Linked DNA regions of Tribolium castaneum. The protein of the gene in region 2 purifies or fractionates together with the protein of the main gene of each other region. This does not show direct contact. Links are inferred from orthologs where the notes say so. Each region holds a gene or a part of one and is shown on either strand. Other genes may lie near its edges.

What was found. Proteins that work in one complex are often made in the same cells at the same time.
Region 1: the proteins of tsu (region 2) and Upf2 purify together in Homo sapiens (co-immunoprecipitation; 6 studies listed by BioGRID and IntAct, with this or other methods). This does not show direct contact. The link is inferred for Tribolium castaneum from reciprocal best matches to the Homo sapiens genes RBM8A and UPF2.

Annotation. Positions count from the first base shown.
Region 1 is NC_087394.1:28,286,545-28,292,417, reverse strand, and holds the end of Upf2 (regulator of nonsense transcripts 2), read right to left. Parts: intron 5,397-5,873; coding exon 4,547-5,396; intron 4,186-4,546; coding exon 3,987-4,185; intron 3,943-3,986; coding exon 3,825-3,942; intron 3,776-3,824; coding exon 3,548-3,775; intron 3,502-3,547; coding exon 3,328-3,501; intron 3,281-3,327; coding exon 2,715-3,280; 3' UTR 2,530-2,714; downstream 1-2,529. Other genes in the region: uncharacterized protein LOC103312536, read left to right, coding at 462-578; transcription initiation protein SPT3 homolog, read right to left, coding at 630-1,523; icln (methylosome subunit pICln), read left to right, coding at 1,762-1,880, 1,933-2,075, 2,125-2,468. UniProt on the Homo sapiens protein: Involved in nonsense-mediated decay (NMD) of mRNAs containing premature stop codons by associating with the nuclear exon junction complex (EJC).
Region 2 is NC_087399.1:11,506,497-11,513,182, reverse strand, and holds tsu (RNA-binding protein 8A), read right to left. Parts: upstream 3,322-6,686; 5' UTR 3,207-3,321; coding exon 3,146-3,206; intron 3,096-3,145; coding exon 2,952-3,095; intron 2,898-2,951; coding exon 2,636-2,897; intron 2,583-2,635; coding exon 2,555-2,582; 3' UTR 2,426-2,554; downstream 1-2,425.

The DNA of each region.
Region 1 (5,873 bases), on a different chromosome or scaffold from region 2:
TAATCAAAAAACGAATAGAAGACGATCAACGCTTTATTTTTAATTTTACTAAAAATAAATAATAATAATGATGTAAGCTCTAGAATATTTATGATGGGAAGTTGGGAACCTGATAATGTCTCCCTATTTAAACATTTTTTAAATTACGTACAAAAAAGTACAAATGACGATAAAACACACCAAAGTTAAGTAATTTAAATTATATGTTAAAATAAATGCCTTACACAATTTAACCATAGGCAAAAACATCTGATAAACATTAAAGAATTTTGAAGAAAGTATTAAAATTTATTTATTTTAAAAATACATAAACACATTAAAATATTGCACGGTTAGCAGTGACTTTAGCTCTAAGATTAGTTTCGAAAAAGCACAATTAATAAAAACATTAGCACAACAATCCAAATTATAAAAAATAAGTGAGAGGCTAACTTGACTGACCCCAATACCTTTGTTTTCAGAGTTTGGCGAGAGAAATTATAACATCGGTTGCTTCAATATCATCTTGCATAATCTCTATTTTTTTCGTAAAAAATTTGTCGAGAATGGATTCGCTGCACATAAATTTTGCAGCGTAATATTTGGATAAATAAAAGACCGTTTAAAAAATTAAACTTTATTAGAACAAATTACAGAGCAAATAGATAATGCGTGTCTGGTAGTTTTCCCCCGAAATTCAGCTTCCCTGCTTGCGGACAGTGAATTCTTCTCATAACTTCTTTAATTTCATTGACACTAATGGGGGGCTGTCCACTGTAAACCCTGCTATAGTCTGGATTGTTACCACTAGCCCCTATCCTATAATCCCCATTAAACATCGTAGAAGTGTAGTAATTGCCGTATAAATGATTCAGTGGATCACTCCCACATTTGCCCTCCATCCTCACAAGCAACGCATAATCGGTTATCTCAGCAACTGTCTGGTACCCCAAATACGACAAAACCACCATAGCATTAGTGCTGAAATTAATTTCCTTTTTCGGGTCAATCCACTGTCTTAATTTTTCGGAGTTTCGGGCCGTGATATCTCTACTGCAAAACGAGGTGGCTCTCGCTTTGCAAAACTCCAAATACCTCTTCTCGTCCAGGGCTTGAGATATGCGATCAGCCCTCAGCATCCTCGACTGTTTGACTTCATCAACTTCGGATAAATCGGTGAATTCTCCCGTCTCGTCTATGTACTCGATAAACTTCATTAGCTCGTTCTTCGGTATGGGATCTCTGTCAATTTCAATGACCCCCGAGTTCAACGACTGGAGTTGCTGTTTGAGTTGCTTGTTTTTCAAATATTGGAAAAAGCGGCGCATTTTGTGCTTATTGTGCCGCATTAGGAACACCAACTCCTTGCCTTTGAGGTTCTTACCATCGGAGTACTTCAGCGCTTCCTGGACGATCATGCGGAGCTGCTTCAACACGATGCTCTCCACCAAACGCACCGTCTCGGGGTTCGGCTTGTGGCTGTCGCCGAACCCAAACATCATCAGCGAGATTTCGTTACAAAAGGTTGTTTTTTGGGAATCCATCAGTTTTTGTCAACAAACACCTAACCTCAATTGACAACAAATATTTTCCCCACAGAATAACAGGTTTTTTTCCCCAATCAAACACAGCCGGTTCAAAATACCAGCCCGTGATTGGTCCTTAGCTCACAACGCCGCCAAAAGAAAATAAAAATCCCCAAGTTAAACGTCAAGCGCCATAGTTTGTGGTTACAATAATTTTGAAAAATAAACACGTTTTGCGAAAAAAAGTGGAGGAAGAATGGTTGTGGTCACGTCGTTTAAACCACCAGAATCTCCTATAAGACTCGAGCAGTCAAACGTTGTGGTGATTTTGGATAAACGTGATCTGGGCACCGGAACCCTATTTGTGAGCGAAAGGTAACACAATTATGGCAAAACCAAACGAAAAATACATTGTGTTAAATTACAGGACACTCAGTTGGCAAAAAGACGGGACTACGGGTTTTTCAATTGAATATTACAACGTCTCGCTCCATGCGGTGTCCAAAGACCCCAACGTGTGCGAGAGGGAGTGTATTTATATTTTGACTGACCCCCACATAAATTTGTTTGGTTTGTAATTTTTTGCGCAAAATTTGGTTTATTGTGCGTCGTTTTGTAGGAGAAACTGACCAAAGGCCCGCAAATGATGACAGTGACGTTGAGTCAGAGCCAGACCTCTCGGAGCTGATTTTAGCCCCCGAAAACCCCACACATGTACAAAGTATTTACGAGGCTATAAAAATTTGCCAAGAACTCAATCCCGATCCTGCCGATGTTGACGACGAGGACGATGATAATTTATTCGCGGACGCAGAAGAAGAAATGTTTATAGAAGCAGAGTCTGAGCAGATTGGGGACGCAGTTGTCGACAGTTTGGCCGAAAGGCTACAAAACAACTCAGTCGACGTCCAGTACAGCTACCGGAATGGCAACGAGGATGAGGATTTTGAAGATGCAGACTGATCCCTGAATTATGTTAGGTTTTGTATCTTTAATTTTAATCCATTTTTTATAAAACACTGACTAGTGAAAAGGTTTTATTCCAACAGAAAACAATGTTGAACGAAACAAAAAATGAAATTCCTTGCTTCTCCTTCACAATTCTCAATTCCGATAGACTAAAAACGAAACAATCTATCTATTTCTGAAACATTCTGAACTTCTTTGACCCTTAATCGTATTCAACCATTTCATCCTGAATTCCTCCCATTATCTAACTCTCTTAGGTCCAAAAATCAGGTCGGCGTCGGGCGCCCCCTTGGGGTGCTGGTATTTCTTGCGTTCGCGGTTCAAGTTTTGGGTCACGGGCCTGTTCTGCTGCTGCATCATGTCTTGATAATCCTCCTCTTCAAACCGTTCCGTGATGTTCAGCGTCAAGCGCTTCACTCGTTCCTTCTCCTCCTTCTGAGCCAACTCCTGGTCCCTCAGATTCTGAGCGAGTTCGGAGTTGATATCAGCCTCGAAATTTTTATATTGCTGCTTGTTTCCTTTGCGGACCATTAGCACGAACCCGATTTTGTTGGGTTCCGTTTCAGGGGCGTCCTGCAACTGCTCGTAGGTCTTTTTGTTCGATTTGAGGACAACCGGAACGGAAATGTCCACGTTTCCGGCCTTCACCGGCTCGCGCATCCGCTCTTGGATGTTCTCCGAAACCATTTTATCCAAAGCGTTTAAAAAGTCCTCGTCCTCGGGGCACTCGACCTTGCGGGGGCCACTGGGAATTGCCAGCGATTCGGACACTTGTTCTTGCTCAGCTTCGCTAACATCGGGTTCCCCTAAAAAATAATTAAAAAAATTGGAAGATTTTAAAAGTGAGACGGACCTTCATCGTCCGAGCCTTGTGTGTGGTCCACCGTTTCGTCCTCAGTGGCGGTATCATCAGTAATAGGTGCCGTGACTTCGGACACTTCGTCCTGTTCTTCAGTGTCGGTTTCAGCGATCGTTTCCAGGCCGTCTTCCTCAACTTTATTTTCGTTCAAATCTCCAGTGATTTTATCTAATTGACTTAGTTTTATTTCGGGATTTTTTAAAACAAAGCTTACCAAAGCCCAAAGTGACGCGAATATTATTTAACTCGGTTTGTGTTTCTTCGTAGCTTTGACACAATTTAATTTTTGGTCTCAGGGTCGTGAGAGTGTCTTTAAAAATGTGCTCCAGTGTTGGAGGAAATGCATCTTTCCACAAGTCGCGCTTGAACCAATAATACGATTGCAGAAATATTAAATAATAGTCTAGTCTCCTCTTACTGCTACCGCTGCTGAAATACGTGCCTACAAGTTGAAATTGGCCTAAAACAGTAATTAAAAAATAATAAATTACCGCATGTTTCAAGTAAAACACAAGCCAGTCTTATTCGGAAAAGGTGATTTGGTGGATCGAGTGGCGACGGTATGTTTGGATCCATTGAAACTCCAAATGTTATCAAAGAATACAAAACCTGAGTAAAAGGTTTTATTGTTATTTATAAAAAATTAAACAAACCTTGAAAATGTCAGCGCTTTCAACCATTCTGTAGTTATACAGCTCCCCAAGATATTTTACTTGAGCTACACGTCTCTGGTTATATTTGGGAAGATTTACTTCCATACCTAACCGAATGTCTTCTAAAACACTGTCCACTACACGAGTGCCAACCTCTTCCTGGTAGGTCACCAAGCCCGCAAGCAAATTTGCGAGACACCTAAAAGATAGATTTTTCTTCTTGAATTTTGTAGTTCATAATTTTGGCTCCTATTATTATTAAAGGTCAAGCACTTATAAAAAAACAGCTTATGCAAAATTAGTTAAAAAATTGACTATTATTATTCGTACAATTTCTTCCTGGTAGATAGATCATTAGGCCCGGAAACAAAAGAATTATTTTTCTTCAGCTTTATTTAACTGTTTTGTAGTTCACCTTAATCACGTCTCAGTTATTAAAAGATCAGAAAAAATAGACAAAAAGGAGTCCGTATCATGAAATAAATTAAATATCCGTTGCATAAAAAAATATTAACGCTCCAAAAAAATCAGTTGGAAAAATCGTGGAACACACGTCTTACCTGATATTGAAATACTTCACGTTGTGGGCGCTGCTTAGACACTTTATTGCATAAGCGGACACGTCCTCGTTGCCCCAGTCCAGCTTCCTAATCAGCCTCATAATCTTATCAGTGTTATTCTTCTGCAAGTCTTGAAAGAGCAATTTCCGGATAAACTGGTGCATTATCGGCCTCTCCTTCTTCGTGATTGTTACTTCGGGCGGATTGACGTAATAATAGGCGTTTTCAATTTGCGTCACATATCTCGAATCCAACGCCATAACGGCCTTTTTCCTCATCATTTGCTCCAAATACACCCTCGTCCTTTGATGCGAGTCGGGACTGCAGTACAAAAACCGGCCGCAAACTTCCAACAGATTGCAGGCCATTTCGATGTGATGGTGCGAGAAATCGTACAGCAGAACTTTGAGACAATAGAGAGCTTCTATTTTTGAATAGAGCTTGAATTTGACGAGTTCGCCGATAAATCGTACGACTTTTATTTTGGATTCGATGTTAATTTGGTCTTTCTTGCGTACGTGGTATTTGAAGTCTTGCCGCAGCATTTGGCACAGTTCGTTGCCCACTTCGGGAAGGGCTGGACGGAGGATGGCCACGAAGCGGGCGTAGAACGGGAGGAGGTCGAGACGGGTGCGGTTTACCCCGAACAGGGCACGGACCAGCTTCTTGCGGTTGTGTTTGTTGTTGAGGGTTACGAGGAAATCGATGGCTGCGTTGTCGATCATTTCGCGGTTCACGCAGTTGGGCAAGTTGTTGAAAAATGCCTCGAGGAGGATTTTATTGCTGGCGTTGGTTGTGGCAGAGTCTTCGGGCTCATCTTCCGCTGCCACGGGCGCCTCCTCGGCTTTTTCTAACAAGGCAAATAGTTTTCTGTTGCATTTTTTAATTTTTTATATAAAAAAACAATAATGGCATACAAAATCTTAGTCATTTCAATGCAAGACGTCTTAAATTAAATAATGATATCGATATATCCGACCAAATAATCGTTTGATCTTAAAACCATTTTATTAGATTTATTAGAGCTCTAGGATGCAAAAAAAGGCAAACTCGGTAGAGGCCTCGGAAAAGCACATAGAACGTAGAGTCATGTGGCTAAAGTTTTTCAATTAATTAAATATGTAAAGATTGCGAATCAATAATTTTGGGTCACAAAAACTTACTACATTATAATTTATAAGTATTCGAGACGTAAAATGATGTCTTAAGACAATGAGATCGGCTACTGGCAAGTGATCCCTTTGTTGGCAAATTATACCATCTTCTAATAAATCACGCGTCTGGTTTGTGTTTAAATAAAAAATTGCCGATTGTTTAACCAATAAAG
Region 2 (6,686 bases):
AGTATTTTATAATTTTATCAATCTTATTTAAAAAAATTATTTGGTAAGATGCGACGTTGGCGTTTTTATAGTTTTTAAACAGCTAATACATTATGGGATTCAAATTAAACTATATGCAAATTAATATTATTTAACACTAAAAATTAAATATTAGTTTTGCTCCAATTGTTCTATAATTTTAGTTTTGAATTTTTAATTCCTAATTTTCTCTGCGTGCACGCCTATCAACGCGGCTCAATGTTAGCCAATTGCAACCTGATATGGTGATTTCGATGAATTCAAATTTCATTGATCAAGTAAAGAATAGTTAAATATAGTTAATTTTTTTTTTATATAATCAACTGTCAGTGTCACAATTTTGTTAAAGACCAGACTATATCACCCTGTGCATATGTAGAAAAACATTATTTAAAGTATTCTTTTACATGAATCATCAGACCAAATAAACAATAATTATTATAATTATAAGAATACTATAAGCACCTACTGGAGAAAATCCATTTTGAGAATTACCAGTCTACTTTGTAGAATGTCAAATTTTGTACATACAGGCTGTCTATTTTTCAAACTCCACCAGGGTATCTCAATTATTATAAGAGATACGTGGTCGGTTGCGCATTTTTATGCTGAACAATTATCGGAAGGAAAATTTTATGCGTCATTTTTAGTTTCTGAATTATTCAGAAAAACCACAAACTTGTAAATTTTGTTTTTAATTTTTCAAATGAAAACTAGAAGAACTACATTCGGTTCACTTTCATAAAAATCATTATGATGGAAATTGGGTACTCTTAGCATTAAGTTTTATATGAGTTGTCGTGGTAACAGGTTAGTTAATTCCACTACAATGGTTTTTATGAAAGTGAATCAAAAGTAGACGTTTTTAAGGACATTTTTCAGGCACTTTTTTACAAAAAGAACGTCTACGCTAGGCGGAGCCAATGCGTACTTGGTCGAGTGGGGAGAATGAGCAGTGGCGTATCAAAAAACTATCCTATAGGAAAAAGGGGTTTGAGTTTTAAACTTTTTATTATTTATTATTTCCTGTATTTAATAATAGCAATATGAGATAATAAGACATCACACATCTGATTCCTACACGTTAGTTGTTAATTTCATATAAACATAAAGCAGAGATGTCCAATAAATAACAAAAACACAATGTGAATGAGTAAAAACGTACAAAAAAGATTTCTTATGTTACCTTTACCATTAATGATATTGAATCGTTAAAAATTACGATGAATTCTTGATACACGAAAATACACACCACACCATTGCTCCATGGACTCATCCGCGACAAGTTTTCATCTCTGCGCACTCCCACCACCGTGGACGTTCTGTCATTTTCATGACTCTACTTATATTTTTCAAACGTCTTTTTGTTCCTGATTAAAAACGCCATCGTCGCATTTTACTAAATTTTTTTTTAAACAAGATTGATACAATTTTAAAATAGTTATTAATGACTGACTAACCTTTAATTGAAAATGTGTAAATTATATTAGCCGTTATTTTTTGAAGGGCATGAATAATTTATAACAGCTAATTTTGAGAAAAAATGAGACGTTGCCGTTTTTAAACTTGAAACAGCTAATACAACATAATTTTCAAGAAAAATTTAGAAAAGAATTTAAACATGAATCTACAACATATTACATAATTATAATACCGTGGAATCGAAAATTAACTGAATTAAAGCGAACCTTGCAAGGGAAGTGTAACTTTGGTCACAATTATTTTCAAAATATGGTGTTGCAAAAGACAGTAAAGGAGACTACGGAGATGTCCAGAAATACTGTTACTGAAAAATTTAGGAGACCACTGATCAATACAGAATACTAGAAATTATGAATATCAGTTTCCTTTCTTTTGCGTGCACTTCCAAGTGTAATGTGGGTCTAGCTGATTCAAAACTATAAAAACGCCAACGTCGCATTTTACCAAATTATTTTTTTTAATGAAATTATAAAATAGTTATTAATACTTAGATCTCATTGAAAATATAAATTACATTAGCTGTTATTTTTTTTAAGTCCACGAATAAGTTATAACAGCTAATTTTAAGGGAAAATGCAACGTTGATGTTTTTATAGTATTGAAACAACTACTCCACTATTGATTGTGACATTGACAATTCTACAATTCACAGAAACAGAGTACACATTGTTTTTTGTTATTAGCACAGTTATTAGTGTTTTTTTTACAATAAATGACTGTTTATTTTTATATGTTTCTGATACCGATCCTTATTTAAACTTGAGTTGGATTAATGGTGATAATTGATAATCACCGTTTTAATCCAAGTTAAAACAATTTTAAAATCTATTGTAACCATAACTTTAAATGATCACATTGTACTTTTTACCAAGTCTTTTGAGAATACTTGCTTGTCCCAAACTATAGAAAAAATACACTTCACACGTAAAAAACTCACAATTTATTACTTCTTGAATGTCATAAATAAAATACACCAAAGAACCTTACTTTTGTAATCTTAAGAAATTAATGGATATAAGTGGAAAATTGAGTTATAAATAATTTACAGTTACAATCAGTGTCTCCTTGCACGTTTCTTTGACCTGAAAAGAAATCAAATCACTAAGATTTAACCATTCAAAACCAAGAAACTTACTTTTTGGGCCCCTTAACAAAACACCAGTCAACTCCAACTGTTTGCCCTAACAACAAAGACCCATTCAAAGCCTCCCTGGCCGCAAACGCTTCCTCGTACGTCCCATATTCAATCAAAGCATATCCCTTCAAAAAACCCGTCCGACGATCCAAGTTGATACTTATATTTTTGATAGCCCCAAACTCGGAAAACTTCTCACTCAAATCATCCTCACTGGCCTCTTCATGCACCGAAGTCACAAACAAAATCCACCCCTCCACAGCTAGAACGCAAAATAACTGTTTACAACACTAAAACTGTTTAAAATGCAAATTACATTTCTGTGGCCCAGGCTCGTCTCCGTGATCCCCGGAATCTATGCTTTCATATCCTCGAATTTTCTCATGTTCCTTGGTCTCTCCAGGCCCAAAGCCGCGACCTTTCCGCTTTACAACTTTATCTTTCAGGCGCAAAACGCTCTCTGGAAATGTGAGGTTAGGAAAAGGAGAGGTTATGTTACGGCTTGCCTACGGTCTCCTTCGTCTTCCACGTCCAATTCGACGGAATCGTTGATGTCCAAAACATCTGCCATTGTAACAACGACACTACACACGTTTTTTTTATTAAAAAAGACCGATTTTTAGCATAAATTTGGGATGCTTCTTTGACGTTTGAAGTCGCGGTAGCGTTGCCAACCGTGCCACTTGTAACACCATAATTCTCCAGATTTAAAAACACGGAATAAAATAAATAAAATAAAAAATACATTTATTTTTATTGCACAAAACACTAATAACATCTAATAATAATAACACACAACATTTCCCTTGCGTCTTTTCAAAATTCTATAATTTCGTTTAACATTCTTTCAAATTATTTATTCCTCAGCATGGATTCAGTACTCGTCCCTAGACTTTTCTTAACATTCTTGTCATATTCTTTTCTAAAACCATATTTAGATCCCGAAAATGTTTCATAATACATTTCTATTTAGCTGTTTCAAAACTATATAAACGCTAACGTGGCGTTTCTTACTTCATTTCCAAATGTTTTTTTAATATTCTTTGTATTTATATTAGCTGTTTCAAGACTATACAAACGCCAAGGTTGATGAAATTGTAAAACAGTTATTAATGTTTAGATCTTTCATTGAAAGTACCATGCGATGTTTTAAAATTTTGATCTAGTAATCCACAACAGTTAAGTTAACCCAATGTCCTTTAGGGAAATAAGAATCCAGCATAATTTTTTATGTTCTTCGGTGAATATTTTAGATATATTGACAGATAAAGCGATGCTGAAGTTATTTACGTAATATATTTCACTGTTGAGGTAACTGTCAAGGATACCTAGATCAAAATTTTAAAAATTCGCTTGTTATAACTTTCATTATTTTTTTTTAGGTGCATCAAAAATTCATAACAGCATTAACAGCTAATTTTGAGACAAAATGTGACGTTGGCGTTTTTGTAGTTTAAAAAACAGCTAATAGACTGAATTCAAAATTCTTTGAAATCACTTTTTTAATACATCCTAAAAATTTTATTTTTGATTTTACTCTGCGACTTTTCAAAATCCTTCGTTTAGATCTTCCAAAATTATGCTTTGATTTTGTGTCACTATTTTTTTAACATTCTTCTCTCATTGTTCTAAACCATCTGTAAATATGAAATAGGAAATAAACTTATTTTATAAATTCATCGTATGGACTTTGATTTAGAAATGCTTTGTTCATCAAAATTCTTTTATAAACGCTTTCTACATTTTCTAAATTCTCCTTTAGATTCCACTTTCTGTCCCTTTCTACAGTTTTATTTAGTATTTTTTTATTATTTTTTTAGTATTCTTTTGTACCAATTCTTTTCTAGATTGCTCTTTTTTCAAAATATTTCTAAAAATGTTTTTCAAATTATTTTAGTCGTCTCTAGATTTAAAATCCAGTCTCTTCTTTGGATTATTTTTTTATAACCCCATCTTTACATTTTTTTTAAATTATTATTCTTTAAATTATTCTTTAGATTCATGTCTAGATTTTTATTTAGAATTATTTTCTATACTGCATTAAAAGTTCTTTATAAACACTACTTCTACATTATCCAAATTCTTCTTTTATTCCATCCTCTGACCCTTTTCTACAATTTCATTTAAGTTAAAATTAAAGTTTTTTTATCAATATTTAGTATGTTTTTTGTACCAATTCTTTTCTATTGTTTCAATTTTTTTTTCTCAATTTTTTTATAAAGCCGTCTCTAATAGTTTTAAAATCCGGTTTCTTCTTTTAATTATATTATAAATCCACTTTATGATTCATTTCTAAATTCTTCCCTTGATGTTTTTCACAATTATTTTGTAACTTATTCAAAATCTTTTTAAAGTATTTCTTATACATTCTCCAAATTAGCTTGTGGCTTGTACGTTTTCTCAAATTCCTTCTATAGCTTCGTTTAGAATTTTTCTAAATTATTCTTTTGTCTTGAGTCTCTAGATTTTTATTCATAAATATTTTGTAGACTGTTCTTTTAGATTTTCCAAATTCTCCTTCAGTTTCCAGTCTCTGTCCCCTTCCACAGTTTCAATTAGAATTTCTTTTTATTAATTTTTGCATTCTTTTTGTACTCTTATTCTTTTCTAGATTTCTCTTTTGTCTAAAATTTATTTTTTTTCTCAAATTTTGTTAAAAAGCTGTCTGCAGATCTATAATCCAGTCTTTTCTTAGACTATTTTACAGTGAGATTATTTTATATTCTATTTATTTTATATTTTTTTGTTTCTTATTGGAATAAAATTTAATGACATTAGGACAGCTTCCTTAAATGGTTGTAAATAAAACGACAAGTTGCAACGTTTCGATTTTATAATAAACTTCATCAGGCTTTTAACTCATTTAAATACTTAAAAGCGACATTGAAAGATGGAAATGCCAGTGACTTAGTAACAACTACACATACAAACACCACACCACTGCGTCTTGACACCAATAGTTTTTTATAAATTATTCTTTAGAATAATTATTTCTTTACAATAATAATTTTTTAGGCTCTACGCAAAATTCTTTTACAAACAGTCTTCTATGTTCTTCAATTTTTTTTATTTTTTTGAGGCTTTTGTGGACTTATTCAATTTAAAAATGCTTGATTTGAATCAAAATTACATAACTCATCTAAATCCTCTTGCATTTGTTCGGTTACCAACCTTATTTAATTTTCTAATTTCAGGCAATAATATTTCAAAACTAGAAAAGAACTGTTTATCTTTTAGAGAACAAAAAAAAACAATACCTTCATTGATTTTTCGGAAAACAACATTGTCAGCATTGATGATGAAGCCTCGAATAAAGTCCCATTTTACATAAATGATCTCGGTCTGTTTGGAAATCAATTACATGACTTATTTAGATTACTTTTAGATAAATCACAAATTTAAAAAAATTAGTGTGGCGTCTATTCAAATTCATGATATTTTAGACGAGTTTTTTTATGAAGACTTCGGAATTGAGCTTTTGTTGATAGACTTAGAAACGTTAAGTAATGACAGTTTGATAAAAATGGCTAATTTTTGCAAGCAAAGAAGTAGTAACCCAACACGTTTAACTTACCAATTATGCGAGTCAGGTGCTGAAAGAAATAAAATTGTTTGACTTGTTTTAACGTTTTTTATTATTTTGTATAGCATTGAAATGTAAATAAATGTACACAAAATGATTTTGGTAAGCTTTAATGACACTAAAACTAAAAATTAAATGTTCGAACAGAGTAAGTTAGATATGGTGGATGCGCCGGGTAAATAAATTATTAAACATTATGCAACAATAAATTTCTAAACTTCATGAAAGTTCTTCTTTTCAACAACAGTCAAAGTGATGTCAGGTTGGTATAAGCCACTAACATCCACTAGTTATTTGATGGTTCTTTGGATGGCAACGTAAAACGAAAAAAATTCCCACTTTCCTACATGTTTAACTCTTCAGTTTCATTTTCACCGTTTTTATTTCTTGTCTTTTTGTATAAAATTTGCATACCTCAAAAGAAATTCCTGTGTAAAATTCTGTTGAAATTAAATCAGAAGGTGGTTT